3 linked regions of the Callithrix jacchus genome follow. The main gene of each other region encodes a partner of the protein of the gene in region 3 in a complex. Links are inferred from orthologs where the notes say so. Each region holds a gene or a part of one and is shown on either strand. Other genes may lie near its edges. The genes, in order: NAA30, NAA38 and NAA35.

Evidence for each region.
Region 1: the proteins of NAA35 (region 3) and NAA30 are in contact, whole or in part, in a cryo-EM structure (PDB 7MX2), measured with the Homo sapiens proteins. The link is inferred for Callithrix jacchus from reciprocal best matches to the Homo sapiens genes NAA35 and NAA30. Residues at the interface, in NP_001308810.1 of Homo sapiens: Leu45, Gly46, Leu48, Leu56, Ala59, Met60, Ala62, Glu64, Lys69, Glu121, Phe313, Pro314, Arg315, Ala444, Leu510, Glu511, Leu512, Glu517, Pro605, Lys606, Phe607, Glu608, Leu609, Asp610, Val614, Arg615, His618, Arg619; in NP_001011713.2 of Homo sapiens: Glu221, Pro238, Ser240, Tyr242, Thr243, Arg245, Tyr246, His249, Asn250, Lys304, Ile324, Glu334, Asn335, Leu336, Gly337, Val339, Arg340, Asp341, Lys342, Arg343, Phe345, Arg346, Tyr347, Tyr348, Leu349, Leu359, Trp360, Leu361, Arg362.
Region 2: the proteins of NAA35 (region 3) and NAA38 are in contact, whole or in part, in a cryo-EM structure (PDB 7MX2), measured with the Homo sapiens proteins. The link is inferred for Callithrix jacchus from reciprocal best matches to the Homo sapiens genes NAA35 and NAA38. Residues at the interface, in NP_001308810.1 of Homo sapiens: Val30, Asp31, Ile32, Thr33, Phe36, Ala39, Cys40, Leu43, Leu45, Glu47, Leu48, Leu49, His50, Asp51, Phe54, Glu58, Ala59, Ala62, Ile63, Glu64, Met65, Met66, Ala72, Gly73, Met74, Gln306, Arg307, Leu309, Pro310, Pro311; in NP_001307854.1 of Homo sapiens: Ala41, Arg42, Leu45, Glu46, Leu48, Leu49, Arg61, Phe67, Leu68, Cys69, Thr70, Asp71, Arg72, Cys74, Ile77, Arg97, Val98, Leu99, Gly100, Leu101, Ala102, Met103, Val104, Pro105, His108, Ser111, Ile112, Glu113, Val114.

What each region holds. Positions count from the first base shown.
Region 1 is NC_133509.1:92,043,068-92,053,899, reverse strand, and holds the start of NAA30 (N-alpha-acetyltransferase 30), read right to left. Parts: upstream 6,624-10,832; 5' UTR 6,505-6,623; intron 6,238-6,504; 5' UTR 6,237-6,237; coding exon 5,469-6,236; intron 586-5,468; coding exon 462-585; intron 1-461. UniProt on the Homo sapiens protein: Catalytic subunit of the N-terminal acetyltransferase C (NatC) complex. Catalyzes acetylation of the N-terminal methionine residues of peptides beginning with Met-Leu-Ala and Met-Leu-Gly.
Region 2 is NC_133506.1:74,349,581-74,358,866, forward strand, and holds NAA38 (N-alpha-acetyltransferase 38, NatC auxiliary subunit), read right to left. Parts: upstream 4,928-9,286; 5' UTR 4,788-4,927; coding exon of another isoform or gene 4,748-4,787; coding exon 4,339-4,747; intron 4,168-4,338; coding exon 4,055-4,167; 3' UTR 4,009-4,054; downstream 1-4,008. Other genes in the region: KDM6B (lysine-specific demethylase 6B), read left to right, coding at 325-451, 537-848; TMEM88 (transmembrane protein 88), read left to right, coding at 2,396-2,602, 2,764-3,033; CYB5D1 (cytochrome b5 domain-containing protein 1), read left to right, coding at 5,472-5,631, 5,753-5,829, 5,962-6,180, 6,727-6,957.
Region 3 is NC_133502.1:97,178,062-97,188,907, reverse strand, and holds the start of NAA35 (N-alpha-acetyltransferase 35, NatC auxiliary subunit), read left to right. Parts: upstream 1-4,126; 5' UTR 4,127-4,217; exon of another isoform or gene 4,218-4,817; intron 4,818-5,095; 5' UTR 5,096-5,100; coding exon 5,101-5,224; intron 5,225-10,846. UniProt on the Homo sapiens protein: Auxillary component of the N-terminal acetyltransferase C (NatC) complex which catalyzes acetylation of N-terminal methionine residues. N-terminal acetylation protects proteins from ubiquitination and degradation by the N-end rule pathway.

The sequences.
Region 1 (10,832 bases), on a different chromosome or scaffold from region 3:
TCCTGATCCTTCCAGAATTGCAGTATATGGTTGATGACTAGCACCAAGTAATGATAACAATTTCTCCTTAACTTTGGCTTGACTGAGGTCCATTTAACCCAAATACAGAGAAGTGCTTGAAGCCTGGGATGAAGAACCATCATAATGTAATTATAAACTGCAGTATTTATTGTGGTACTTAGTATAATTCGAAGCATTTTGAATGTGATTTTTAAAAATCTGGAGGTGAAAACTGATCATCAGCTACTCGTTAAAAAGAAAAACTCTCAAAACATTGAGAAAAAAATTTCATTTTAAGAACTTTTAAAAAATACCATTTTGAAATTAAAAATTAAAACCACCTTAATTTTCTTCCCTTAGTTTCACTTTCATTTCTATATATTTACATTTAAGTCTTTTGTTTCAACCACAAAAATGAAAGTAGCTTAGGCATTCCTTCTGTGAAATAGTATGTTTCTTACCAATGCCATTTCTCCTGTATTTGGAATCCACGGCTAACATGGCTATATAACCTCTGCGGAACATCTTTTTGTGCATATCCAACTTGCAAACGATGGCACCTACACACTCCTCCCCTACCATGGCCTTAAAAATAAACAAACAGTTAGGAAGAATGCATCACCATCAGATACTGCACAATTACCCAGAGAAAACAACAACCAACCATTCATCAGCATTTTTGACAGGGGAAGAGATAATGGAAACGCTTGCAAGAGAGCAATCACAGAAGTTTCAAAATTCTATATCCCATAACTCTTTCCAATGTTCTATTCAAAATTTCTCAATATTCTTTAGAACGTGAATTTTTTATGCTTATTATAAAGCCTAAGGAAAAAAGACGAGATTTCCACAAGGTAAACATTCAAGTACTTTATAAGATTACACACAAGGTGCTTATAATCACAGTTATTTGCCACAAAGACCTAAGATTCTGGAAGAAGAAATACATAAAAAAATTATTATAAAGAAAAAGTCTGTTCATTAGGACATAAAACACTGTAAAACTTGCCTATCAGCAGAATATAAATTCAAACATATTCAGTTAAATTTAATAATAATGGCCAGGCATGGTGGCTCATACCTATAATCCCAGCATTTTGGGAGGCTGAGGTGGGCAGACTGCTTGAGCTCAGGGCTTTGAGACCAGCCTGGGCAACATGGCAAAACCCTGTCTCCACCAAAAATATGAAAATTAGCCAGAGTGGTGGCGTGCACCTGTAGTTCCTGAAATAGGAGGATGGCTTGAGCCAGGGAGGCAGAAGCTACAGTGAGCTGAGATCAGGCCACTGCACTCCAGCCTAGGTGAGAGAATGAGACCCCATCTCAATAAAAGAGAAAAATAAAAATAAATTTAATGTTTTAGTGAAAGCTGGATATAATACATATTTACACCTGAATGGTAGATTTTGATCAGAAAAATTAAAAATTTTCAGAAAAAGCACTGTTTATAAGGTAATGCTTAGATCATACCTAAGAGCTTTCTGCTAATATACCTAAACATACCATGATCTCATTTTTAGGATACTCCTGACAGTGTGGATAACTGTCATAGAGCTCTCAGAATATGTATAGTTCAAAATCAAAGGTTTATGTTAAAAGCTTCGATTTTATAGAACTTTAACAAAAATGTACAGCTTTCCAGAGTATTAAAAGCTACATGTTAAAAACCTAATCAGCCCCCATTTTCATAAGATTTCTAGTGTTACCATTGAAAATGTTTTTCAAAATTCCAATGCTGATTAAAAAAAAAGTTCTAGTAACAGGGTATTTCTGGTAAATATAAATAGGGCAAAACCTCCAACTGTTTAAATAATGTGTCAGTAGGAAGATTTCTATAAATTAACTTTCCAGAACTATTTCAACAACAAAAAGCAGAAATGAGTTAAAAGATTAATAAGTAATGTCCAATTTATACTTAATACATATTTTAACATAAATTTGTTATGATTTTTTTAGTCTGTCATTCTGTAAATTGATTAAAAAGCCTTCTTTTAACTGTGAAGAAATCTTTTAGGCAAGATAATTCTAATCTATTTCATGCAAACCTAAACTAGGTCGGAAAAATCCTTTTGAAGGAATATGAAATTCAACAACCCACACTAATTCATTTCTGGTTTATCACACATTCCAAAACTATTTTGGGTCAATAAAACCTTTGAAATTGTTATTTCTATTTTTTTCCCTCACATCAATCTTTTTGAAAAATTGTTTAAATACCTAAAGTATTCACAAATATTGCCTTAAACAACTCTGAAAGCTTTTTGATTTGACAATGACTCACTTCAAATATATATGTGTGTATACAGATATATATAAATATATATACATACATAAAATAATCACAGACCAAATGGCATATTTAAAAGGGCCAGGAAAAATCTGGCCTGACCTCATAAACTAGGCTTATGTGAAATGAAAACCTATATTAGACCGATGATATAAACTATAGAACAGCCACACCTTATATGATATAAACTATAGAACAGCCACACCACCTGCAAATGAGGAAAAATTAAAACCATTAAACGCAATACAACTGGACAGTATTTTCAATCTGAACAGGAATTTCAAACAAATCTTTGTCCTCTGAGCATGTAATAAGAAAACAAAATACTGTATTAGTTCATTCTTAAGACCTGATGTCTTCCCAATTCAGAATCTGTAGGAGCAAAAATCAAGCTATATACATTATCTAAAAAGTCCAATATATCATACACCATTATGATATTGGTAGAGAAGAAGACCAATGCTGTATTTTTTTTTCCTGATAAACTACTCATGAATATATGGTACAAGAATCTTTAAATTGCTTGTCAATTTTTCCAAATAAAAGCTCTGCACATACATTTAGAATTCATGCTAGTAAATGTGTTTTTTCAAGGATGGGAACTGAAAACTCCCTGTCAAAATTAAGACAACACTACAGGGCTAAAGGGTTGTCAGTCTATAAACTATGAAAAACATAAAGTGAGAGATTCCCAAATTCTAGAACACTACAAATAGAAAACTGGAGGAAGCCAAAAAGTTAAATTTAGAGCAAATAAAGGCAAGTACTATGTTACATTGTTGACAGTAAGTTTAAGAACTTCAAAAAGGTATCAACTGAAAAAATTACTATGAAAAGAGGTAAAGATAAAGTGGTTACAGAGTAACTGAAAGTGTCTTACATTTGTATTGTACTTTTAAAAATATGTATTTTACAATTAGGAAGAATCATAATAAGCTGTCATTTTTGTTAGTCAGTCAAGTATTGGCAATTTTGTAAGGTTCAATCCCATATATTCCACTGACCCATTGCAGGTTATCCATAGAAAACTTGGAGGTTTCTAATCTACTGAGATTGATGTTTGTAAGGGCAACTGCCCTTTGTGAAGATAACTTTGTGACATAATCTTCACTGAATGGATCAAGGGTATGTCATTTTTCAGGTTATTTGTTACCATAATGAGAGGCCAGAAGAGCTGGGTTCTACCTTTACCCCTGTCAGTAAATATCTGGAGATTTAAACATTTTAAGTCACTTTGGTCCTTAATTTTTTTTCAATCAAAACAAAACTTAAGTTAGGCTAGATTATCTCTAGGATCCCTTTCAGTTCTAAAATGATATGGTTTAAAATAAACATACACATTTACGCATTTGTATTTTTTAAAAAATAGTTTCTATGTTAGACTTAAATTTAAAAGTATGCCAAGACAAAGGCTTCAGTTCTAAATGGTCTGATTGTTTTTTAACTACTGTTTTGTTATTGTTTAATACCTCCTGACTCATACTTGCACCAGTAAATCTTACAGGTCAACCACTTGTGCATGTCTTAATTTCTTGATATTCGGAATTTAATATTAAACAAACTTAAGCTACTAAAAGCTAACATACACACAGCTGGTGAATTGGGGGGTTTTACATAAAATAAAAACTAAAGTTTACTAATATCATTGACGAGAGTCTAAAATGGCAGACAAGCTGAGAGAGGCCTAGGTAAATATCAGGACTAAAAAGCTCGCTAAATATCATATATACAACCAGTTCCTGGAATGGACAGAAAAATATCTACTTCAATTTAAAACGTGACTCAATCATCTACTTCTGTGGTTTAACTTACCATTAAATCTACAATTTTCAGCAATTACAGTGGCATCTGATATGACATTTATAATAGTGCTATAAATCATTCTCCTATTTATTGATATAGACGTCTTAGAACTATTCTGATATGATGCTTAGAATTCTGAAAGAGCAGTTTTCAAGAATATAAAATAGTACCCACAGTTTAAACAAATGTACTCAAGTTTAAGCAAAATTAAAACAGAAAATAGAACTACCATTATCTAGGATACCAGGTTATATTTTCAAATTACTACCAAGGTAGAGAATCAAAAAAACAATTAAGTATTGTCAAAATATCTTGCAGGGAATTACTAAGTGGAACTAAGCCAATGCTAAAATATTAAGTAATGGTGGCTTTTCCCTTCACATATAAAATATTCCTTAAAAGCATGTCATCTTTTTAGTAACATTCAACAGAAACAATATGGTTGTAAGCACATGATACAAAGCATACACCTGCAATCAACATTTGAGTTAAAGTATTCATAAAGACTGAAGTTGGTTAATATTATTTTGAAGAAATTACTGGTACTGCCAATACTATGTAAATTTTTTAAAACTGTCTGTCCAAAAGTCTTTCACTTAAGTATAATTGTCAATTATACTCTACACAAGCCAGTGTTACTAGTGTTTAACCACATCTACAGTTTCTTAAATCAAAAAAAAAAAAAAGAAAAAAAATCACATTGGTAACAATTTCACACTTCAGTTTTCCACATTCCACAAAAGGGTATTTTGTTCAAGTTTCAGGAGTCTTTCAACCACCAGAAGTGTTAGTAGCGCTTTCTGCAATGGAGTACCAGAAAGCAGGCTGGCTACAACTGTTAACTGTCCCGTTGAAGTAAAAGGAAACAATCTCCATAATTACTGAAAATGCTTGTAAGATTTAATTCTCCAATATGGCCACACCAAGTTCGCTGACATTCATGTTCACCAAAACATGTTTTATGCATATACTCTTCCCTGATTACGGTTCTAATTCAGAGACTAATAAGGCCTGTATCCGAATAGAACCATGTTCAAATTAAATGACTGTAAAGTGTCTGAGGATGAGGGCGGGTAATTAAAGACAGTTAAACACGATTATAATCTAATGTAAACAAGACCCCCACCCCAGTGGAAGAAGCCAACATACAGGCTTGCTGCAGTTACAGTACTATCACGTTAACCCAAATCATGAAGTCTTACCTTCAAAACAGTTTCATTAAATAATTAGGAATGTGTACACGCACTTGACGTCATATAATGTACCATGATATGTGCAGCAGGAGATATCCACTGCCACACTCTCGGCCCTCACTCCCGGCCTCACACCCGGTCTAGATCACTGCTGGGTTCACCCTCTTTTCATTCTATCCACTTACCAAGAAGCACAGCTGTGGCCAGTTGTGGATAAAATATCTATAGGTATAAATGGAGTAGGGTTCGGACAGATCTTTGGTGATCAGTCTCATGATATCGGGCATTTGTAGCTCGGATTCATATCGGACGTATCGTATCGTCCGATCCTCCCCAGGCTCAACCTCCCTGCCCGAAGGGCTTCTTAAGCTGCAGCCGGCGGTCAGGGACGAAGACAGAAGCCGCACCTGCTCGTCGTCCTCCTCCTCCTGCTCGGTGCCCTCGGCCAGTCCATTGCGGGCCGCCGCGGGATCGCTCGCCGCCGCTGCCTCCGCCGGGCTGGGGACCGCAGTTCTTGCGTTATTAGGGAGGAAATGAGGGGGCCTCTCGCCCGAGAGTACCCCGGCTCCTTTTGTTGCAGTCGTTCTGGGGCCTCCGTCAGGGGTGGCCGTGGTGGCGGCCACCTCGGCTACGCTCAGGACCTTGCTCTTGAGGGAGGCGGCCGCCCGGAGGTGCCGCAGTTCGGGGCTAATCAATCCGTTGAGCTGCTGCTGCTCCTGCGGCGGCTGAGGGCAGCGGAGGCACGGATGCCCCTTGGTCGCTGCCGTCGCCGCCTCGCCACCCGCCGGGCTCCTGCCGCCGCCGCCTTCGTGTTCCTCGTCGTCCTCCTCGTCCTCGCTGCAGCAAGCAAGGGCGGCCCCGGCCGGGAAGGGACAGCGGGGTTCGGCCGCCGCCGGGGCCGGAGGTGCTGGTGGTGGGAGGAGGCTGCTAGGCCCAGGCGGTACCTCCGCCATCCTAGAAGCGACACAGACCGAGAGGAGAGGCCATGAAACCCGGCCGACAAGCGCGGAGAAAAGGGGGCGGCGAGTGGGGGGCGGCCGCGGTGGGGGGAACAAAGGCAGAAACCGTCCCTCACGGAGCTGCCCCCCCAATTCCGCGCCGCCCCCCCCCCGGCTCTTCAGCGCCGCCCAGCTGCTCAGCCGGCCACCGTCCCCGTCCGCCCGGGCCCACCCGCCAGCCCTGTCACCCGCGGCCCCTCCCCGTCCCCTCCTCGCGGCTCACCCCGCACCGGTCCCGCGGCCGCTGCCACCACTCCTCTTCCTTAGCCACCGCCGCCGCCTCCTACGTCGCCGCGGCCGCCTCCACAGCCGCCAAGGCTCTCGCTCAGCCGCCGTCGCCGTAAAGCGCCTCGGTTGTTACCCCGGGTAAAGTTTCCTGGGCCTGGCTTTACGACACTTCCCTGCCTGCCGGCTGCCCAGACCAAGGGAGAGGGGCGTGGAGGGAGGTGACCTGTGGAGGGGCGGGGACGGAGGTGTTTCCTGCGATCTCTGGGGAAGGCCGCGTGCTAGTGGGTGGGGCTGTGGTGCCGGGAAGTTGCAGAGGGCTTTGGAGTCACAGGCTCCCAAACCCTTCTCGGCTTTGGGGCTCCTCAACCCGCGGTACTTGCCACGCGGGGCCGGGGAGGGATGGACCCGGCAGGCGCTCCCTGCTTCAAGTCCACCGCCCACTCGGAGCTGCGGCGAATCTCGCCAGTTCGGGGCCTGTGGAACCAGCCATTTACAAGTTACCTAAAAATACCTATTAGAGCTAAACAGCGTTTAATGTTTGCCCCAACTAGGGACAAGGAGGGTGGGGGAGAAGCGGTTAAAAATGGAGCAAATCAGGGAAACAGATCCGAAAGGAAAGGAAGCTGTGAAAATGCGAGGATGACTGTCGAAACGTGGGTTTGTAGTGTGAATTAAGTTCAGCTGGCCCTTGCCACTTTAAGGCAGGGGAGTCAGCCCGCTTCCCCCTTCTTCCTCTGCTCCTCGCGCCTAGTAAAATTGGAGGCAAATGTGACTAACAAGTGTTGGGCAATTGCGAGCACACCTGGGGAAGGGTTAGAGCGAGATGGTGAAAGAGTGACCAGGGCTAAGAAGCACATTCCTAAACTTGAGACACGAATAGGTTGGGAAGGACTGGTAAACAGGTGGCCTGCTCCTTCCTCCCAAGTGATCTGCCTAGCGAGTGCAAAGGGGATAGAACTTGAGGTTGTGGCTGAGTTCCTGCTCTAGTCCACAATTGACTCAGCAGGTCTGAGCTGAGACAGGTAGTGCAACGCACCCGCACACTGAGCAAATTAGGTTTTTTAAAAACCTGATTTATACAGTTGGTCTGGTGTGCCGCAGATGGACATTTTCAGCATATAATTATATGACGGAACGTGTTTGCAACTTTTTGCCATAGTCTAAACTCTGTATGTATAAAATAACTATTTGGTTCACAGATTCTGTGGCTCTGAAACCCAGACAGAGCACATCTGGGATGGCTTTTCTCTACACCATTATGCATAGTGCTTCAATTGGAAGACTCCAAGGCTGAGGAAAATTATATGAAAACTTCACTCTTACTACTGGTGGTTGATGCAGGCAAAAGGCTGGAAGCCTAAGTTCTAGTCCATGTAGACCTCTCCAGGTGGTCTTTTAGCACTGATTGTTTTGGACTTCATCACAGCCCGGTGGCTGAGTTCCAACGACAAGTATCGTGTGAGAAAGTGAACCAGAAGCATATTGCCCTTTATGATCTAGCCTTAGTAGTCATGTAATCTCAAGCCAGGTGGGGTGGCTCATGCCTGTAATCCCAGAATTGTGGGAGGCCAGGGCGGGAGGATCACTTGAGACCAGGAGTTCGAGACCAGCCTGGCCAACACAGTGAAACCTCATCTCTACCAAAAAATACAAAAATTAGCCGAGCGTGGTAGCTCACACCTGTAGTCCTAGCTACTCAGGAGACTGAGGCAGGAGAATCAATGAACCCAGGAGAGAGGTTGCAATAAGCCAAGATTGCCCGACTGTACTCCAGTCTGGGCAATACAGGGAGACTCCTTCTCAAAAAAACAACAAAATAAAAAACAAGTTATGTAGTGTTACTTCTGCTGCATTTTATCTAGGCAGACACAAAATTATATCCAGTTTCAAGGGAAGGGAAATAGACTCTACCTCTTGGTGCGGAGAGGCAATGTTCTCAAAGAACATGTGGGACCAGAAATATTGCTGTGGCCATTTCAGAATATATAATGGAGTCTCGCTCTGTTGCCCAGGCGGGAGTGCAGTGGCACGATCTCAGCTCACTGCAACCTCCGCCTCCGGAGTTTAAGCAACTCTCCTGCCTCAGCCCCCTGAGTAGCTGGGATTACAGCTGTTCGCCACCACACCTGACTAATTTTTGTGTTTTTAGTAGAGATGGGTTTTTACCATGTTGGTCAGGCTGGTCTTGAACTCCTGACCTTGTGATCCGCCTGCCTAAGTCTCCCAAAGTGCTGGATTACAGGCTTGAGCCACCATGCACGGCTTTTTTTTAAAAGCACAAAACAAAACCATATTTCCAAATGTGATACCTTGTTTAAAGATACATTTTTTTCAGAGTTTCTAAATGCAAGCTGGGTGGTCAGCTAATGAAACAATGATCTGTTCAAATCATGGTGGAAAAACTGGCCCAAGAGGCCCCAGATAATTCTATAAGAAATGTTTAAGGGTGATTTTTACTTAGAAAAACGTCTCTCAGTCATTCACTTTGAAATGTAAGACCTTCCTAAAAAACATGTGTGACTCTATGGTAGTGAGGGAATGGCAGCAGGTCTTCCTGTTCTTCCTGTGTTGCAACTTGGCGATGAGCTCACTCAGACTGGGGAGCTGACCAGATGTCTCAAAGTTGTTTTTAGAAAGTCAAGAGTTACAAGTACCTTCTTGAGGTCAGGGAGTAACTGTTCCTTAGTATTCACCTATCTAACACATAAAAGGGAACTTGTTAAACTTTTTGAATTGCTCTCTTCTCTCATTTGTACTCCAGAATGCTTACAATGACAAAGTAAATTCTGATCTCCCCAATAACTAGTGGGCTGATTCGAATGTCTCAGTCCCAGTGATTTTTCTTTATATGCTGGTATTAAAATTTCAATGTTGGCCTTCTAAATCAGATGACTTCTCTAAGAAATTTGTCTTTATAAGTTATGAAATGTTTTCTATTTTATTCATATTTACTTGATAGGATGATAGCATTATTGCAGGCATAGAAATAGGATTATTTCACTCTAATGCTTTAGACACATTTGCTATTCTGAGACTCTGAAAAAACAACCACCTCCATGAGCAATAACTTCATAGGAAAGAAAGGGCTCAGAGCAAGGTAAGTGTACCAGTGATACTCTTCTGTGTGGGTAGTTGATATTTTCATTGTTTTGTAATATCCTATGAAGCAACCATCTTTTTTTTTTTTTTTTTTTTACTATTTTTCTCTTTTGAGGAAGAAGAGGACATACCTTAATATTTTAGAAGAAAAAAAAACTTCCCACTCAATAAAAATAACTAACAACCATTTTAAAACAACATCCTAAAGCAAATTCTTGAAATCAGCTTGGAAGAAGAAACATTTCTTTTTAATACTTTCTAACAGTAAGGCATTTTTCTCTTATTGGCAAGGTTTAGAGAAAAAAACCTAACTGTGTACCTACTTGAAAGGTAACTGTGGGAATGAATAATGGAAATATGCTTTAAGTTCCCTTGACACAGTAGGATGACATTGTTATGTGCCATAGGCACACCTACTAAATAATTTAAGTATTTGTGTAGTTTTATTTTACGTCATGTGGTTCTTAATCCCACTAATCCTATCTATGATACATAAGCCCTGCAAATGAATGTCCTTAGCTTTGTTTCATCCTGAATGAAAGAAAGAACATACATCAAATTTGAGAGCTAAAGAATTTAACCAAAGGATGAATATTAGTATATTGTTTTATTACCTGTAATCTTGGAACACTCTGAGATGCCCAGATAAAGGGCAAACAATTTGATTCTTCCTGTAGAATTTGGGGAATGACAGCCTGTTCTTCAACCTTCTTTCCCCTTGCAAATAGTGGATGGCAGTCCCAATTGTAGGTAGGCATCAATTTTGTTTGTAGAACTGAGGCCTCAGAGAACTATGAAGAACCAGAGAGGGTTATGATCAAATGGTCCCCATTTTCATTACTTTCAACCTCACATTAACTCTTCAAAATCTGTGTTATTAGTAAAATTTCAATGCAGCAAAAGAAATAGCACTCAGATAAATCCTCTCACAAGGCAGTTTACTTCTATAGAAAGGTGTGGCATAGGGATGGAGCAATGGTGGCTGCATGCTTCAACAAGTGGGGAAGGGGTACTTATGGCTGACGGGGGTTGTCCCTAAGGGCTGTGTCATTCCCTATTGGCTAAGGTTAGACTGCACAAGCTAGACTAATCCTGATTGGCTATTTTAAAGAGCAGAGGTCCCCTCCCCTTCCCTCCCTTCCCCTCCCATCTCTTCTGTCTCACATACACACACCTCCCCACCTCTTGCAAAACTGGTTTCTCCCTACTCTGTGAGTGCTGCAG
Region 2 (9,286 bases), on a different chromosome or scaffold from region 3:
GGGAGCCCATCTCCACCTACCCGATCCCTGTTCTAGTTCTTCCTGTCTGACTGCGCCCCATTCTTCATCTCTCTCCATCCGAGTCTGTCTGTGCCTCAAGCGTTACTATGCTGGGAAAGCTACCTAGGTCCCTGGTCTTGACCTTTCCTAGTGGTTCAAATAGACAAAAGCCACAGGAAATCTCACTTATGACAGATGACCAGGACAGAGGATGGGACCCGGACATGAAGCGGGGAGGGCCCTGGAGCTGCCCCTCTGCCCCTGCTCTAGCCCTGCCCCAGCCCTCCCTGCCGGTGGTCTCAACACAACTCCACTGTTCCCCAGATTCTGCCTGCTTCAGTCCATGAAGCACTGTCAGGTCCAACGTGAGAGCCTGGTGCGAGCAGGGAAGAAAATCGCTTACCAGGGCCGGGTCAAGGACGAACCAGCCTACTACTGCAACGAGTGCGATGTGAGTGTGCCGGCTCTCCTGCGCCACCTGAGTGTGTCCACAGTGGTCCTCCCTCCCCTTGACTGCTCCCTCCTCCCTGCCCCAGGTGGAGGTGTTTAACATCCTGTTCGTGACAAGTGAGAACGGCAGCCGCAACACGTACTTGGTACACTGCGAGGGCTGTGCCCGGCGCCGCAGCGCGGGCCTGCAGGGCGTGGTGGTGCTGGAGCAGTACCGCACGGAGGAGCTGGCGCAGGCCTACGACGCCTTCACGCTGGTGAGGCCCCAGCGGGTGTGCGGTCAGCGGAGGAGGGCACTGGGGCAGGCTGCAGGGACGGGCTTGAGGGGCCTGGCCGGGCCTGCCCCTGAGCCACTGCCGGCTTTGTCCCCACAGGCCCCCGCCAGCACGTCTCGATGAGGCCGGACGCCCCGCCCGCCTGCCGGCCCTTGCAGGGCGCCGCGGGGCCACCAGCACATGCCTGGGCTGGACCTGGGTCCCGCCTCTGGCCGGGAAGGGGGTCGGGCCCAGCCCTTCCACCCCATTGGCAGCTCCCCTCACTTAATTTATTAAGAAAAAATTTTTTTTAGCAAATATGAGGAAAAAAGGAAAAAAAATGGGAGACGGGGGAGGGGGCTGGCAGCCCCTCACCCACCAGCCCCTCCCCTCACCGACTTTGGCCTTTTTAGCAACAGACACAAGGACCAGGCTCCGGCGGCGGCGGGGGTCACATACGGGTTCCCTCACCCTGCCAGCCGCCCGCCCGCCCGGCGCAGATGCACGCGGCTCGTGTATATGTACATAGACGTTACGGCAGCCGAGGTTTTTAATGAGATTCTTTCTATGGGCTTTACCCCTCCCCCAGAACCTCCTTTTTTATTTCCAATGCTAGCTGTGACCCCTGTACATGTCTCTTTATTCACTTGGTTATGATTTGTAATTTTTGTTCTTTTTTTGTTTTTGGTTTTTAATTTATAACAGTCCCACTCACCTCTATTTATTCATTTTTGGGAAAACCCGACCTCCCACACCCCCGAGCCATCCTGCCTGCCCCTCCGGGGACCGCCCACCGCCGGGCTCTCCCTGCGCCCCAGTATGTGTCCGGGTCCGGCCCGACCGTCTTCACCCGTCCGCCCGCGGCTCCAGCCGGGTTCTCATGGTGCTCAAACCCGCTCGCCTCCCCTATGTCCTGCACTTTCTCGGACCAGTCCCCTCACTCCTGACCCGACCCCAACCCCGCCTGAGGGTGAGCGACTCCTGTACTGTAGGGGAAGAAGTGGGAACTGAAATGGTATTTTGTAAAAAAAATAAATAAAATAAAAAAATTTAAAGGTTTTAAAGAAAGAACTATGAGGAAAAGGAACCCCGTCCTTCCCAGTCCCGGCCAACTTTAAAAACACAGACCTTCACCCCTACCCCCTTTTGTTTTTAAGTGTGAAACAACCCAGGGCCAGGGCCTCACTGGGGCAGGGACACCCCGGGGTGAGTTTCTCTGGGGCTTTATTTTCGTTTTGTTGGTGGTTTTTTGTCCACGCTGGGGCTGCGGAGGGGTGGGGGATTTACAGTCCCGCACCCTCGCACTGCACTGTCTCTCTGCCCTAGGGGCAGAGAGGTCTTCCCAACCCTACCCCTATTTTTGGTGATTTTTGTGTGAGAATATTAATATTAAAAATAAAAGCGGAAAAAAAATCCTGTTTCGCTAACGTGCTGGTTGATAGCAGGGACGTACCGGGAGGGCTGGAAAACCGTGATTGATGGGGAGGACGGCGCAGACCCTGGCAAGGGCGAGCCCCTCCCCGGAGGTGCCTGTGGAATGTCCTGGGCTCTGGTCCGCTCCTCAGGATGGGGGGTGCCTAATCCTACAGCCGCATTCCAGGATAAGGGGGGTGGGGAGAGGCTGGGCCGGGGGAGGGGCAGGAAAGAGGACTATAAGGCAGCAGCCCAGGCGGGCTGGATACAGGCAGGCCATGGCGGATGTCCCGGGGGCACAGCGAGCGGTTCCCGGCGGCCCAGAGCCCCGGGACCCCCTGGACTGCTGGGCCTGCGCTGTGCTTGTAACAGCCCAGAATCTGCTAGTGGCTGCCTTCAATCTTCTCCTGTTGGCGCTGGTGCTAGGGACCATCTTGCTACCCGCTGTCACCATGCTGGGCTTCGGCTTCCTCTGCCACTCTCAGGTGAGTGTGCGCCCTGGGGTGTGAGTGAGTGTTGGGTGTTGGTGTGTGGTGATGCTGGCGGTTGGGGTTTATGGGCCACAACTTCAACCCGCTTGGGCTGTTTCCACCCCGTGCACAGTTATGGCCCGGTCGGCTTGGGCCTGACTCCTCTTCTCCCACAGTTCCTGCGCTCCCAGGCACCCCCTTGCACCGCGCACCTGCGGGACCCCGGTTTCACGGCCCTTCTGGTCACCGGATTCCTGCTCCTCGTGCCGCTGCTAGTGCTTGCTCTGGCCAGCTACCGCCGCCTCTGCCTGCGCCTCCGCCTAGCCGATTGCCTCGTGCCCTACAGCCGAGCCCTTTACCGGCGTCGGCGCACCTCGCAGCCGAGGCAAACCCGGGCCTCACCAGGGTCCCAGGCCCTTCCCACATCAGGAAAGGTCTGGGTCTAATTATCCCCGAGTCAAGAAGAACCCTGACGGCTGCCTTCCCTCTTATTCCGCCTATGAACTGGAAGCCCCTCTTCTTCCGACCTGCCCTGCCCCCACCCCTGCCTGATCGGAGTCCTAACAACCCTTTGGGAACAGCAGCATCAGTGGACCCAATGCTGATGAAAGCCCCTACATCCCGGAAAACCCCCTTTCCCTCCATTACCCACATCTAAATCCTCAAATTCTGGGCTGGACCCTGCATACCTCCCCCTCAGCCCTTGTGTCGTGAATGGGACCACAATCTCATGCCCTCCTTTTATGGGGCAGCTCCTCCGGTATTTCTGGGGCTGGGGGCAGGGAGGTGGGGCCAGAGGGGAAGGAGTGTCCACATATCAATAAAGATTTAACGAACGTGCTCTGTGAACAGAAGAGTGGCACAAGTACGATCATTCCTGTCCTGTGCCGAGGAACAGGAAACATGTGCCAGGGCTGCAAATGCGCAGAGAGGTGCATCTTTCAGCCCCCTGGCCTTATCGCTTTTGTCCGTTCTTCCTGGCCAGACCTCAGAGATTTGTCCCTGACCCCAGGCACCTCCCCATCAATAGAGAGGAGGGGGCCCAGCCTCGGCTGCCTGCCCTGCTCCCCTTGGGGACCTGAGCCCGTTCTCTGACCCCGGCTTAGAGGAACTCGGTGTTGCCAGCCCGGGGCGGGAAACAATGGGCCTTCCGGAGCAGGATGACACCCCCTCCCGCCACAATTCTGGAGCAGCAGCGTGGGAGGGAAGATGCAGGGGCCCACCCTGGGGCGCCTGCTGGTCTGTCATTCAGCCCTGTCCCCCATCTCTACCTCTGAACCTGAGAGAAACTTTGGCACCCCTGGACAACCCGGTTGGGAGAGGAGGGCTGAGTGCTCCCGACTTCAGATGAAGCTTTTCCTCTAGGGGTGAGGTGTGCTATCCCTGCCCTGCCATCCCAGGTACACACAGACACGGGACCATTCGGTCATAAGTTTAATGAAATCTGAAAGGTGTATCCGATCGTGGTCAGAGATACGGAGGCCCGGTCAGGCTCTCCCTCTGCACCTCAATGGAAACAATGTGGTGTCCGGGTACCATGGCCAGGCCCAGCACACGGGGCTCCCCGGCAGAGAAGGAATCTAGAAAGAAGGATCAGAGCATCAGGGAAGCAGGCCACAATCAGTCCCGCCCCTCTGAGCCACGAAAACGGGTTCCAGAAAACAAGGGGTGCAGCTAGGCCCTGCAGGGGAAATGCCTTGCGTAAGGTTCCGCCACATTCCCAAGAGGGTGTGCATTCCCCGGGCACTGACCCGACGGCTTGAGGAACTCCTGCGCCGAGCCCAGGATGACATTGCAGTCGCGGTCAGTGCAGAGGAAGCAGCCAACCAGTGTCCGTCCATCTGTCATGCGAATGCGCATAGTTTTGTTGAGCAGCGCCTCTAGCTGCTGCCGGGCGCGCGCAGCCGCCGAGTCCTCGCGCTCTCCGTCCGAATCCTGCGAGGGGTGGAACGAGCGCTCAGATCGCACAATCCCGGCTGCCCGTCCGAGGAACCACAGCTCCCGGCAGCCCGCAGGGTACTCACACGAAGCCCAGAGGCTGCCGGGAGCTGCAGTTCCCCACACCCTCCATCTTGCTGCTCGACTGCCCCTCAATCCCAGAATCAAAGCCCGTGCTAACCCCGGCGCTGGAGCTGCTTTGACGCCGACTGCAACAGCCATTCTCTTCTCGTAGCAGCATGGTCGGTCCAGCTCCAGCCATTTGCCCGGAGGCCTCCTCTGGGCCTTTCAGCTTCCTAAGCACCTTTCGGGTTGGGTGGTCCGAGATCTCGCGAGCGCTCCCGATCTCTTTCCTTTCGCGAGATCACCTTTTCTCCCACTCCTAGTCTCCTCGGCAACTGCAGAGATCTCGCGAGCTTCTCCTACCTCTCTTGTGCTGTGGCTCATTGAAACGATGTCATACGCCGGATGTCTTCAGATATCGCGAGACCTTTACCTCAGTTTCTTATCCTTTAGAAACTCTGGAATTTAGGGAGAATACATTCTTTCATACTGCTTCCTCCCTTATTTTGGTGTCTCAGGGAGATAGTCTGTACTAAATATCCCACGTAACCCAGGCCACTGAATCAAAACGGAGCATGTTCGTTTTCCGCGCCTCTCCCCGACCCATCCCGGCTCCAGTTCCAGAAAGCGGCGCCACTCAATTACTTGATCTTTCTATGCCCGATGCGGAACTCACACTACGTTTCCCGTGAACACTTGCAGTCCCATCCCCGTACCGGTCTTTGAGCTCAGTGGACGGTGGCCGGGAAAGGACAATGGTTTCCATGTCAGCGGATAAACGCGCTCCCCTTGGCTCCCGGACGCGACGGAGGTCGCAGTAGTGCGTGCGTGCTGAGGAGCAAAGGAGTAACCACGGGAGCCAGTGACCGACAAAGCAAGAGCCATGCCGCGCCGGGGCCTGGTGGCTGGGCCAGATTTGGAGTATTTTCAGCGTCGCTATTTCACGCCGGCGGAGGTGGCCCAACATAACAGGCCCGAAGACCTCTGGGTGTCTTACCTGGGACGCGTGTACGACCTAACGCCATTGGCACAGGAATACAAGGGTAAGGGCCACACGTTGGGCCGGGGCCGGAGTGTTTGTTTGTGTGTGTGCGCGCGCTTGCTTCCTTGCTTGCTTGCTTGGTTCTTGAAGGGCTGGCATTGACAGTGGCTGCTCTTTCCCAGGGAACTTGCTGCTAAAACCCATCGTGGAAGTTGCGGGCCAGGACATCAGTCACTGGTTTGATCCAAAGACCGGAGACGTGAGTTCTGCTGGAATCTGGGGTTGTGAGTAGAGGCAATGGAGAGCGGGGATGGGGAGGAAAAGCGGAGGCTAGCTAGATCCTTAAACAGGATCTGGCTTCAACCCCCTTGCCCCAAACCCTCCTTTAAAGATCCGCAAGCACATAGATCCGCTGACCGGCTGCCTGAGGTATTGTACCCCGCGGGGCCGCTTTGTGCACGTTCCGCCTCAGCTGCCCTGTTCGGACTGGGCCAACGATTTTGGGAAGCCCTGGTGGCAGAGGTCGTATTATGAGGTGGGGCGGCTGTCTGCCAAGAGCCGGAGCGTCCGCATCATTAACACACTCACGTCGCAGGAGCACACACTGGAGGTGAGAACTGGTGGGGGAGGGGCAGGTTAGAGGGAACAGGAATCCTAGCAAATCTTCAAGCCGATCTTCAGGCTATCAGGTTTTCAATAACCGGTGGGAGCTATATTTTCTGTCCTTTACATTGAGGCTACTGAGGAAAGCACAGCACCTAGGTCCCCAGGGTTGGGAATTCTAGGAGTGTCTGGGTCACAAAGGGACAAGAGACTCCTTTATAAGCCCGGGGACAGCAGTTCATGCATCTCAGTGATGGTGGTCCTTCGAAGCTCTTACATGCTGTTGGACAGCATTTCAACTTTCTTATTAATCTATTGCATGGATATAGTGAGGGGACAGTTGACCCTTTATGGCCATGGGTTAGTTAGAATTGGCTGCCATTCAGATCTGTAGGGTCTTGTTCATTGCATGCTGGAGTTTCAGCTTTTTTCTTTTTCTGGGGCTGTAGAGTATCTGAAGCTGCTCTCTGCCAAGGGAGGCACTCTGATCCTAGTGTGTGTATGTATATACTCCATACAGAATTCTGGGGGTGGGTGCTTCTATGTTCTCCAGGTGGGGGTTCTGGAGTCAATATGGGAAATCCTACACCGCTATCTCCCCTATAATGCACATGCTGCCAGCTACACGTGGAAATATGAAGGGAAGAACCTGAACATGGATTTTACCCTGGAAGAGAATGGGATCCGGGATGAGGAAGAAGAATTTGACTATCTCAATATGGACAGTACACTTCACACACCTGCAATACTTCTGTACTTCAATGATGATCTCACAGAGCTGTAGGAAAGGAGACGTACACTCATGTAGACTCGAGACATATTTTGAGTTTGGCTTTTTCTGTGCCTTGAGGAAAAGGGTGGGGCCGAGGGCTGCCTGGACCTAGATATCCATTCCTCTCTAGGAACTAGCCTGTGCCCTTCTGAAGTGTAAAGGCCCTATTCCCTGCCTTCATTACATTTTTCTCTGAGATAATTAGGGAGAGTGCCAGAAGTGAATTAATCTTTGGGAATGATACAAGAAGATCAAGTGTCTTGGTTTAGGGAGATGTAGAAAATGATAGAGTTCAGGCAGAGCTGTTTGATAGTTGAGAGTAGTTCTACAAAGGTGAGAGATGGAAGAACTTTTTTGGCAATGATGGAAATGAGCTCTCTGCAGGAAGATGGGATTTATAAAAAGAGGAATAGGAAATGTTTATCATTGACCATACAAAGCTGGCTTATCTTACTTGTAGAAGAGTATTTGGCAGCTGAAACCCAAGGGAAAGAAAGGAAGTGAATCATTATCAGGCAATTCAGGCTAGATATTATGCTAGGTACTTCACATACACACACTTTTTTTTTCCCTCAAAGAGAAGGGGTCTTGCTCTGTCACCCAAGCTGGAGTGCAGTGGCAGAATCATGGCTTACTGCAGCCTCGAACTCCTGGGCATAAGTGATCCTCCCACCTCTGCCTTGAGTAGCTGGGATTACGGGCACCTGCCACAATGCCTGGTTACTTTTTTTATTTTTTGTAGACACAGGGTCTCACTCTGTTGCCCAGGCTGGTCTCAAACTCCTGGCCTCAAGTGATCCTCCTGCCTCAGGTCCCAAATAGCCTCTTCAAGAAAACAACCCCAGAAGGTGGATACCATTACTATTTTACAGATAAGTCTTTTGAAACTTATAACAGTTTAATAGCTCAAAGGCACACTAGTTAGAAACTACTAGAGCCAGGATGCAAATTCAAGTCTGCCCAACTCCAAAGTCTATGTTCTTTGATATAAAGGGACCATCTGAATGTCTAATTTCATGTTAATATTTGTAACCACTGCTCTCAGAGCAAGTATTTGGGGTGTGGCTTTGTCCTAGGCTCCTTGCACAACAGGAAACTGTGTGCCTATTGAATAGTTAGCAGTTAATGTCTCTGGAAGGGGGTTTGCAGAGTTTTCCTGTGGCAAAGAGGAGGCAAGGAAGGCTAAGTGTCAGCTAAGCAATAACTATTGGGGCTACTTCCTTGTTAATCTCATACCCCAAATTTCTCTTCTGACTTTTCTGGGGCAAAGAGTTGGGTATTTACCAAACTGAGGGAAAAATACAGTGGGGAAAAGGCTGGCAAATTAGTGGAGAGGGAGAAAAAGGAGGCAGTTTGCCACTTAGAGAAGATGAGGAAGACAGGTTGCAAGATGGTGACTCCAGAAGAGGCACCTTCACAGGGGTAATGTAAAGAGAGATGCTAAGTAAGTCAGGAGACTCTCTTGGTGACCAAAAAAGAACCACTATGGGGGTGAATGGCTAGATTTGGTCTCCTTCAACTTAAGGAGGGGAAGAGATTTGAGAATAACAGGTGAACTTCCTGGCAGCAGCAAGCAAAACAATCAAGAAGTATTTAGTGTGTCTTCCTGCCAGGGGGCACCAGGGCCTAGCACAGGAGAAGGTGGCCCCTGTGAGATATACTGGGTGAGCTGTATAGGTGTTCTCTGAGGGGCTATGAGAGGCATGAACAAAGGTGGAAACATTGCTGTTGGCTTCAGCAGTATCTGAATTTACTGTGACATGGAGGGCTTAAATCTAACCCCATGGAATGCAGGAGTCCGTGAATTATCTAAATCGATCATTTTGATCTTTATCAGCTCTGCAATTACGTGTACCTTGTTTGCTCAATTAAACCCTGAACTATTTGAGAATGGAACTATGCTGTTCCTCTAGTGCAAGCCTCAGGGCCTGTCCTGTGCCTATGGGATGTCCTCATTCTGCCAAAACCTGTCCCTCTTCCAAAGACTCCTACTTCAGAACCTCTTGCCAGAAACACATCCCTTTCCTCACACATGCAGTCACTCATCAAGTATATTCTGTCTCCTGATATCTCTGGAACCTGTCTTTCTCCAAATTACCATCACCTCTTGTCCAGACTGCTGTGGAAACTTCCAAACCTGTTCTCCCATGTCCACTTCTGCCTTCCATGCTGCAGTGAGAGTCAGCTATGAAAAACAAACCTAAACATCTGACTTTCCTTAGCTTCTTCAGTGGCTTTCACCTGCTTTTGGAATAAAGTCCCAAATTCAAAGGCCTTGTATAATTCAGGCTCATCTCATAACACCCCTCTTTGTCCTCTATGGCCCAGACACACTGGCTTT
Region 3 (10,846 bases):
ATTCAGACTGCAGAAGTGGCCTGCCTGAAAAGTCACAGCAACAGGCAAAAATAAAACAACCTAGAAAAAAAACTCAGGCTGCACATGCAGACAGATAAGCAGACAGGGTCCAGCACAGAAGCCTTTTGTTTGTTATATAAATAGCAAGCTCCCAGGGAAAAGTTTCCTTCCCTTTTCAGGCATATACATGGTGGGAACCTGCAAAGGGAGTGGTGGCGGGGGGGCTTACCTAAAACAAACCCACAGTTATACAAACAAGAGAAGCGATGCTTTGTGCTTGCCTAGAGACATAGCCACAGCTGCGTAAGATAAAGGACATTGCAGAAACAGCTTTACTAATAAGAGAAGTTACTCAATCTATTACAGAGATGAGAGGAGTTTCTTATAAAAACTTTTGAATTCAAGAAGAAGCTTCTCCACTCCTCCTGGAATCTCCACCTGATTCAGCCCGCCTGCCTCCACCATGTCCATCAGGGTGACCCAGAAGTCCTACAAGGTGTCCACCTCTGGCCTCCAGGCCTTCAGCAGCCGCTCCTACACAAGTGGGCCCGGTGCCCCAATCAGGTCCTCAAGCTTCTCCCTAGTGGGCAGCGGCAGCTTCTGGGGTGGCCTGGGCGGAGGCTATGGTGGGGCCAGCAGCATGGGAGTCATCACCACCATCATGGTCAACCAGAGCCTGCTGAGCCCCCTTAACCTGAAGGTGGACCCCAACATCCAAGCTGTGTGTACCCAGGAGAAGGAGCAGATCAAGACCCTCAACAACAAGTTTGCTTCCTTCATTGACAAGGTACTGTTCCTGGAGAAACAGAACAAGATGCTGGAGACCAAGTGGAACCTCCTGCAGCAGCAGCAGATGGCTCGGAGCAACATGGACAACATGTTTGAGAGCTACATCAAAAACCTTAGGCAGCAGCTGGAGACTCTGGGCCAGGAGAAGCTGAAGCTGGAGGCGGAGCTCGGCAATATGCAGGGACTGGTGGAGGACTTCAAGAACAAGTATGAGGATGAGATCAATAAGCGTACAGAGATGGAGAATGAATTTGTCCTCATCAAGAAGGATGTGGATGAAGCTTACATGAACAAGGTAGATTACATGAACAAGGTAGAGCTGGGGTCTCGCCTGAAAGGGCTGACTGACAAGATCCACTTCCTCAGGCAGCTGTATGAACAGGAGACCCAGAAGCTGCAGTCCCAGATCTCAGACACGTCTGTGGTGCTGTCCATGGACAACAGCCACTCCTTGGACATGGACAGTATCATTGCTGAGGTCAAGGCGCAGTACGAGGAGATCGCCAACCGCAGCTGGGCTAAGGCTGAGAGCATGTACCAGATCAAGTATGAGGAGCTACAGATGGTGGCTGGGAAGCATGGGGATGACCCGTGGGGTACAAAGACTGACATATCCAAGATGAACATTAACATCAGCTGGCTCCAGGCTGAGATCGAGGGCCTCAAAGGCCAGAGAGCTTTCCTGGAGGCCACCATCGCAGATGCCAAGCAGCGTGGGTTGCTGGCTGTTAAGGGTGCCAACACCGAGCTGTTCGATCACTGCGCTAAGTCCTGGGAACACAGCTTCCATTAAACCGGCAAACCTTCTGCCCTTGGGAAATACATTATTCTGTAAGAGAGATAAGCATTTTTTATTTTTTAAACCAAATTTATTGAGGTTCAATTTACAAACAATAAAATGTACATATTGTAAGTGCAAACTTCAATGAAATTTTACGAATGTATTCACCCACACGGGCACTACCTTAATAAAAAAACAGACTATTTACATCACTTCAAATCCAGTTCTATCCAAGTTAGTCTCTTCTTGAGCTCTGAGCAGCCACTAATCTGTTTTCTGTCACTATAGATGTCTTTTAAGAGTTTGGGGTCTCACTTGGGGAATCATACTCTTTTGCATTTGATTTCTTTCCTTTTTTCTTTCTTTCTTTTTTTTTTTTTTTTTTTTTTTTGAGACAGAGTCTTGCTCTGTTGCCCAGGTTAGAGTTGCAATGGCATGATCTTGACTCATTGTAACCTACGTTTTCCAAGTTCAAGTGATTCTCCTGCCTCAGCCTCCCAAACAGTTGGGATTACAGGTGCACACCACCATGCCCAGCTATTTTTTTTTTTTTGCATTTTTAGTAAAGACAGGATGTAGAAAGTAAAAAGTTCCTCTTTAAAGTTTCCCTTCTTGTTAAATAATAATAAAAATAAATGTTAAAAATAATAGTTTGTTTTAAAAACTAACTTCAAAGTGTTTTGCTTTTTACTAACAACTCTTTGTTAAGCCCTATCCTATGTAGTTATTAGACATGCTTATAGGCACATAGTACATTCTATGTCCTTGTACTTTAACCAAGATATCTGTGCTGGACATGCTCACAGGCATATCCCAGCTCACAGTCTATGCCCCTTCCTTATTTAGATTTCCTCTTTTCCTTTGTTCTCCATTGCTTTTACTTATTTAGAAAAGTTTAAAGTTGTTAGCCAATCGGGTTCAGTTTAGATTGTGAGGTCTGGCTCCAACCAATGGAGATCAGACACAGCAATAAGGACCCAATGTGTAAGAAATAAATATGCCTGCCTTTCCTTTGTTCATTGTACTCTCATGGCAAGATGGCTGATGGGAGCACCCTTTCTGCAGAAAGTAAAATTGCCTTGCTGAGATAGCTTTTTGTCTGAATGCTAATTTTTCCTTGTGGTACCTAGGAAGAAGCATTCTGTCTCTAACACAGGATTTCACCATGTTGGTCAGGCTGGTCTACAACCCAATGTCTCCACCAGCCAGCCTCCCAAAGTGCTGGGATTACAGGTATGAGGCACTGTGCTTTGCCTGATTTCTTTTACTCAATATATTTTTTAAATTAATTCATGTTGCATGTCAAGTAGTTGATCCCTCTTGATAATTATTTTCATTGTATAGATATGCCACAAGTTATTTATTCAACAGCTGATGGACATTTGGGTTGTTTCTAGTTTTTGATTAAAAAAAAAGCTGGGCCAGATGCGGTGGCTCACGCCTGTAATCCTGGCACTTTGGGAGGCCAAGGTCAGGGGTTCGAGTCTAGCCTGGCTAACATGGTGAAACCTGGTCTCTACTAAAAATACAAAAAACAGCCTGGTGTAGTGGCATATACCTGTAATTCCAGCTACTCAGGAGGCTGAGGCATGAGAATTGCTTGAACCTGAAAGTTGGAGGTTGCGGTGAGCCAAGATCATGTCACTGCACTCCAGTATGGGCAACAAGAGTGACACTCCGTCTCAAACAGAAATAAAAACAAAAGAAAACAAAGCTGGTATGAACATTATTGCACAATCCTCTGTATGAATATATGTTTTTGTTCCTAGGTAAATTTTTAGGCAATTACTGGATCATACAACAAGTATATCATTGTAATAAAAGACTAAGTTTTCCAAAGTGGTTGTACCATTTTGCATTACCACCACCCACATAGCAGAGGTCCAGTTGCTCTGCATCCTTGATAACATTTGGTATTATCTTTTAATTTGGGGCCATTCTAAAGAACAGGTGGTGATAAAGATGTGCTTCTTACCTGTGCCAGTCTATTTATGTAACCCCATTTTAAAACTGATAATTTTATTAATAACTTTTAAAAAAATCAAAAACGTGAGAATCTGAAATTAAATGTCTGGCTTGACTTTGCAGATATTTTGTTTCTATGTTCCTTCAGGAAATTCCCAGGCGCTGTATAGGTACATAAATCCGTTGTCAGGCAGCAGTAGCACGTTGCTGGCAGCTTGGCTGCTCCTTCGTACTCGCAACCACTAAGGTCTATGCGCACTTCTACAGTTTCCCTCAGTCTTCGCGGCACCTTTCTAAGAAATTCCCAGAGGGCAGCTCAGAAAGGGCGGGCTCTGAGGCTCCAGGCTCCGCCTCTTTCCAGGAACCGTCCACTACCCTGGACTTCGACTGAGGGTGGGAAAAAGAAGGTGACTTCCGGTCTCACGATCGTCTCTAATCTCGCGAGAAGAGAAGGCGGCCGCCATCGGCAGAACGGAGGCGTTGGCGAGGGAGGGGGTGTGGCCGGGGAGCGCAAAGTCCCCGGGAGTAAGGGGGAGGGGGCGGGGTCGCGCGCCCAGGGTGTACGCATGCGCATACACTGCCTATCGGGCTGGGCTGAGGGGAGGGGGCGGCGGCGGCAGAGGCGGCGTCGTTATTTCCGTGGTCCGGACGGTGCGTGGCGGCGCGGGTAACCACGGGAGAAGTAGGTAGGGACCGCCCCTGCGGAGACGTTGAGACCCTCTCTCTCGTGTGTCCGAAAGCCGCAGCCCCCTGGGCGTGTGGCGGACCCAGGGGACCCCAGGTCACCCTGCGGCCCCGGCCCTCCCGCTGCACGTCAGGTAGGAGCTGCGGGCTCCCAGGTGCCTGCTGTGGGCCGAGGCCCGGCCTTGCCCGGTGTTACCAAGGCGACGACCCGGCACCGGACGTGAGCGCCCTCCCGCGCGGCGACAGCCCTGTCCTTGCCTCCGCGCCCAGTGGGACCGGGGCTGGGCCGGGCTGACACGGGCGGGGCAGAAGGGAAGCGGGTGCCCGCCTCAGGTGTGCTTCCGTCCTAGGCCCGGCCGGTAGGACCCTGCGGTGCGTGCCTGTTCCTCATTCTGCCCGACGAGGCTGTGCCCGGGTCCGGGCCGGGCCGGAAGAGGTCCCAGAGAGCTCCTGGCCAGGTGACGGGCTACCTTCATTGACTTCAGTAGTTGCTGCATGGGATCCTGGGCTGCGAGAAGGGACTTTGAATAGTGCCTTGGTCATTTGTGGCTAGCTAGTAGTGAAAGTTGGAAGCTCTAGAGTTCTTTTCGGGCCAGTGGTGAGATGGTTTGTGATTTTTTCCTCTTAAATAGAAAGGCAAAGTTTATAGGCCCTGGTAGGTGGTGGGCTGATAGTAAATAAGCAGCAGGAGTGTTAATTGACGTGGGATTTGATTGCATTAAGGTTATTCTTTGCAGTACTTGTCTTTAGACTCAGAAGAGTTCTGCTTAAAGAGTTTAGTAAGACTCATCCCATTCTGAAACAAACACACATTTCTGCAAATACTCTTGTCCTGAAAGCTACATCCTCTCTCTTACATCAGTATTAATTTTACAGACATAATGGTTATGAAAGCTTCTGTAGATGATGATGATTCAGGATGGGAGCTCAGTATGCCAGAAAAAATGGAAAAAAGCAGTACAAACTGGGTGGACATTACCCAAGAATTTGAAGAAGCTTGTCGAGGTGAGTCTGATTTTTGTATTAAGACGTTCAGTATCTGGGAGGGGTAAAAATAAAATGACGATTGTGCTTTCTAAACTTACCTCATTAGATGAAATCAACAGGTAAGTGTGGTTTATTGAGTTTGTTAGCCACACTTTTTCCTGTATCTAATTTTAAAGCAAGTGTATATTTGATATAGCATTAAATACAGATGTTGAGGCAGTTTTTTAAAATTGAATTTTTCTTGAACAAGTTAGAGAGTACATAGTAATTTCTAACTAGAGAAAATACTTTGTTAATCTAAAAGATGGTAGTATTTTTGTATATTTGAGGTTTCAGAATGATCAGATCACATCATTTCTTATTTAAGATCCTCCAGTGGCTTCCTGTTGCAGATAGAATAAAATCCAAACTCCTTCCCCATGGTCTATAAAATCTGGTCCCTGCCTGCTACTCAGGTTTCATTTATGTGCCACTGCCCCCACCAGGCTTATTACATTCCAGTCACAGGTCTTTTTTTTTTTTTTTTTTTTTTTTAATTTCTTCATGATACAACCAAGGTGGTTCTCCCAGGTGTTAGCATTTTTTGTTTTCTCTCTTTTAAATTGTTTTGCCCCTTGCTTTCACACAATTCGTAAGTGTTACCTCCCTGGTGAGGACCTCAAAACAACCACTTGTTCTCTCCTCTGCAGTTCTGCTTCAGTTCAGTCACTTTTGTTTTTCTTCATACAGCTTATCTTTTTTTTTCACAAGCCATAATTTTCAATTATTTCTTGTTTATTTTCAGTCTCACTCACTGGAATATAAGCTCCATGGGGCAGAGGTCATTTCTGTAACCCTAGTACACAGAACAGTTCTTGGCACATGGTAAATTCAATAAATAGGAGTAAATGATCGGAGAAATGAACATGTTGGTTGGTTGAAGGGAAGGAGCCTAGGGAGAGACTGAAGAACAAGAGAAAGAAACAAATACTAGAATAAGAGCTTGAACGTTAAAGAGAGGATGAGATGAAGGACATGGTAGAGAAATTAACTTGGGGAAAAGCATAGGGACACACTGAGACAAGAAGGACTAAAGTTAGGATGACTGTAAAGGTATATTTCTAAGTGACAGAGGAGGACTGGTGAAGGAATTCACACCTGATGGCTTCAATTGTCTTAAACAGCTTGGTTGGGGTGTTTGAATAGTGCTCTGAAGGGGAGGAGTAAAGACTTGAGACAGCTGCAGGTGGAAAGGGAACCAGCTAAGTATAAGCAAAATGATAAATCATGTGTCATCCTTTGTTTTGAAATGCATGTCCAGTTCAATCACTTTTTATTGCCTCAGTGAGACAGTGGAAAGAACATGAGACTAGGGGTTGGGTGCCTGCCCATGTATGTCTATCTAAGGAAGAGAGAAGTGTCGAGTTACAGTGTAGTTTTTGTGTTCAGAGACCTTAGACTATTGAATGGATTATACTTGTCATCTTGCACTGATTTTAAGTAATCTCTATTAGGGGGCTGTCATTATGAACCTAAATAGGGAAGGTTTTTGAAGGATATTTGGCTTGGTTTGGGCCTTAAGGAGAGAGCAGGTTTTTGTAAGGGTAGGTAATAGAGTGATTCTAGACTGCGATGAACTGTATGAGTCAGAGTTCAGTGAGGATTTTATGTTAGGAGAACAATAAATAATTTTGCTTGGCTACAGAACAATTTTCAGTGCTGGGAATTATAGAGGGTCTTTAGTGCCATTGGTGTGTGTGTGGTTTTTGTTTTTTGTGTTTTTTTAGTTTGAGCTTGTTTTATAGGCAGTAGGAGTTTGTTAATGGTTTTGAGCATAAGATTGAAAGTGTATTCCCCTTGATGATCAGTACAATGGCTTGGACCCTGTAGAAGCTACTCTGTAGTAGCTTCTCAGTAACGTAGTGAGCTTTATAGTCAGGTATGGGCTGGAGTCCCATCTCTGTCGTTGGTTTAGTTTCCTTGAAGTTTAATTAATCTGAGTCTTAGTTTTCTACTCTGGAAAGCAGAGCTTCTACTTTAGAGAATTTTGGGGATTAAATGAGATAGTGAATACAAAGTACTGGATCTATAGTAGCATTCAATGATGGTAACTGTTTTTACTCAAGGTATTTGTTTAGAGTTGAAAACATAGAAGGTTTATCTACCAGCATAATTATGAATTAGGATGAAAAGAGCCTGTAACCTTAGACAAGGTTTTGCACTCAGCCCAGGTTGGGGTGTTAAGGCCTTGGACTAGGACTTGAGAGAATGGACTAGAAGGGTTACATATGAGAACAAATAAATTCATGTTGCTGGAGAGGTGAAAGAAACATGAGAGATGATGTGTTACTTAAACTTTTCCCTTGGTGACAGCAGAGGAGAGTGAACACATATACTACTTCTAAACCTCTCCTTCCTAAATCTTATGGATGGAGTTCAAAATATCTTGTTCATAGCTACATGATATCTTTATAATTTCCTGTTTTATCTTAGAAATTCATGGAAAAGTTTGCATTTTACAACATGTTTGTTGTTTGAGGGAAACACATTTCATTTATGTTAAAGGTCTTTTGCTTCTCACATCATCACATTAATTTGAGATTAGGCAGCTGTACAAAGTTTAATCCTGTCTTTGAATCCCCTGGGACATGATGTTCACCCAGGGTTGTTGTGTACCACAATTTGAAAACCACAGGTCTGCAGAATTTAGTCTCAATGAAATATGACTTTAGAGGTCCTCTTAATTTTAGTCATACCGCTTGCTTTCATATGTATATTCTCTACTTGTTTTTGATTATAAGAAAAATTGAACCCAAGAAAGCAGTTTAGAATACTGGTGGGAGAGACGTTTTGACTTGCCTTCGACTTATATCATAAATTAGACTTATTTCTTTGTGAAGGAACTTTGAGTGGGAGATGAAGTTTAATCTGTGCTCCACTGTGGATAGAGAGGGGGTGGCATGCCATTTTGTGGCCAACATCATGCCATCCTATTAACTCTTCGATAATTAGCTCTTGCACTGTGTCAAGTGGCAAAAATGTGAGGTATCTTTCTTGGAACTAAAGAAAAATTGATATAGAATTAATCTTCATGTACAGATTTAGGACTAATGACTGTTGGCAGTTCTTGATCCTTTGGTATTTGTTTTCCTTTCTTGAAATAATCAGATTTGTAGTCTTGATTATGGTTTAGTAGGCTTCTGTTCTAGTGGCTTTCTGAAAAGTAAATTTAAGACAGATATGATTACATTCTTTTAACTTGCAGGAATCTCTCCTCTTTGGTGCAAGTGTAATGGCATTTGGCTAGACTCTGGTGATTTTTTTAGTACCATAAAATAGTCTGCATATTGATGGCGAAGTTGTTTTTCATCTACTTTTGTACGTATTCTTTTAGTGGCTCTTCAAAGTCCTGAATCAAATACAAACCTTTACCTTTCATGATTTCTTTTATTTCCTACTAGGCAGGTAGCACACATTCCCTATAACTACTCTTCAGGCTCTTATTTTTTCTTTTCTGAATTATTTGTAATTTCACCATTACTATTGTTTTGCCTGATAGGAGATATGTAATTATTTTAAGTAATACTCTAGGCTTTCTTTTTTTAAAAAAAAATTTATAATTTTTTTTTTTTTCTTTTTAGAGTTAAGGTTTCACTCTGTCACCCAGGCTGAAGTGCATGCAGTGCTATGACCATAGCTCACTATAGCCTTGACCTCCTGGGTTCAAGCAATCCTCTCACCTTAGCCTCCTGAGTAGCTGACAATACAGGCATGTGGTATGCCTGGCTTTTTTAGATTATTTTTTGTAGAGACGTTACGTTATGTAGGTTGGTCTCGAACTCCTGGTCTCAAGGGATCTTACCTCAGCTTCCCAAAGTGTGGAATCTTCTTACCTCAGCTTCCCAAAGTGAAGCTTTCCTTCACTAGGAAACGTCTAGGCTTTCCTTGGAGCTTCTAGGCTTTCCTTCTCTAGGAAACCTTTCCTAATTTAAACCATCTCATTTTCTACCTGCAAAAAGTCTCTGATCTTCATATTCCATTTGGTTTTCCATATTTAGATGCTTTCTGAATTGTAAACTCAGAACTTAGAAATTTCACTTAAACATAAATGATCATGTAACATATACTGCTCCTTCTGCTGCCCACCAGATTCCCTTCTCCCACACTATGATTAGCAGCATTCTCTCCTAGGATGATGGCACCAGTAGTATCTGGAGCCCAGAAGTAATCCAAAACCTGCCATGCTGACTTCCGTTCTTTTTATGTTTTAGGCTAGGAGGATATGGGCCCATCCTCTCATTCCATTTTCTTCTCTCTTTGATGGCCTAGTTTAAGCTTGTCCAACCCACTGCCCAAGGGCTGCTTGTGGCCCAGCATGGCTTTGAATGTAGCCCAACACAAATTTGTAAACTTTCTTAAAATGTTACGAGATTTTTTCTTTTCTTTTTTTTTGTAAAGCTCATCACCTATTGTTAGTGTATTTTATATATGGCCTAAGATAATTATTCTTCCACTATGGCCCAGGAAAGCCAAAAGATTGGACATCCCTGGCTTTGTTCATTATTCTGTAGTCAGTCTTTATTCCTAGCACTGTTGGTTAAGGCTTTCCAGATTCTTTCATCTTCTTTAGTTCCTGCTTAGTACTTTAGGAAAATTCATTTACACTTTGTCTTGCCTCTTATAAAACCTGGGATGCTTAAACTTCTCATTGCTCTTCCATTCTTTTCTATCTTCCCTCACCTAGAATATTTGTAGGTGCTCAATATGTATATTTGTTTTAGGAATGTAGAAAAATTCTAAAGCCATACTTCCTCAAACTGAAGAATATTTCGATCTAGGACTACAGAAGTTTGAGAACCACTGTAGTACATTAAATGCTGTCATTTTGGGGGATTGCCTGTAACCAGGATAATTGTGAACCACAAGCATGGAAACTGAAATTATGTTGATACTTGATTATAATGTTATTATCTAGGTGATCTGGAATATTCTGTGATTTTTAAAAAAAGATTATCATTGAAATGATTACATAGTTCTAAAATTATGGAAAAAATACAAATTCTTTGTGAAACTTTCAGTGACATCTTTTTTGCCTCCCACACTCTCATCCATGAATCCAGTTTGAGAATCATTGTTCTAGGAATTTACTGTTTGTTAGCACTTTGTTCTAAGAGAAAAAGGATGGATGGATGGAAATGGTCTTGGCAAAAAATCTAGGCAACCTGTAAAATTGTTTTCCTTGCTCTATGCCATCTAGAATGTTATCAGTGGTGGGGCATGGGTGAGATGGCCAGCACTGGCATTTATGGATCACTTCAGATTAGTGGTTCTCAACTAATGAGTGGGTGGTTTTTCACCTCAGGGGACGTTATAAGACATTTTTGATTGTCACAGTGTATATGAGATGGTGCTACTGGCATCTAACAAGTACATGTCAAGGATACTGCTCCCCATTCAACACACAGGGCAGCCCCCACAAATAATTATTCTCCTCAAAATATCAATGCTGCTTTTCAGTGACTGACACCTGTAATCCCAACACTTTGGGAGGCTGAGGCTGGTGGATCACCTCAAGTCAGGAGCTTGAGACCACAGTGGCAAAACAATATCAATAATGCAACAATATCAATAATGTTCACTGTATTTAGATTACTTTCAAGA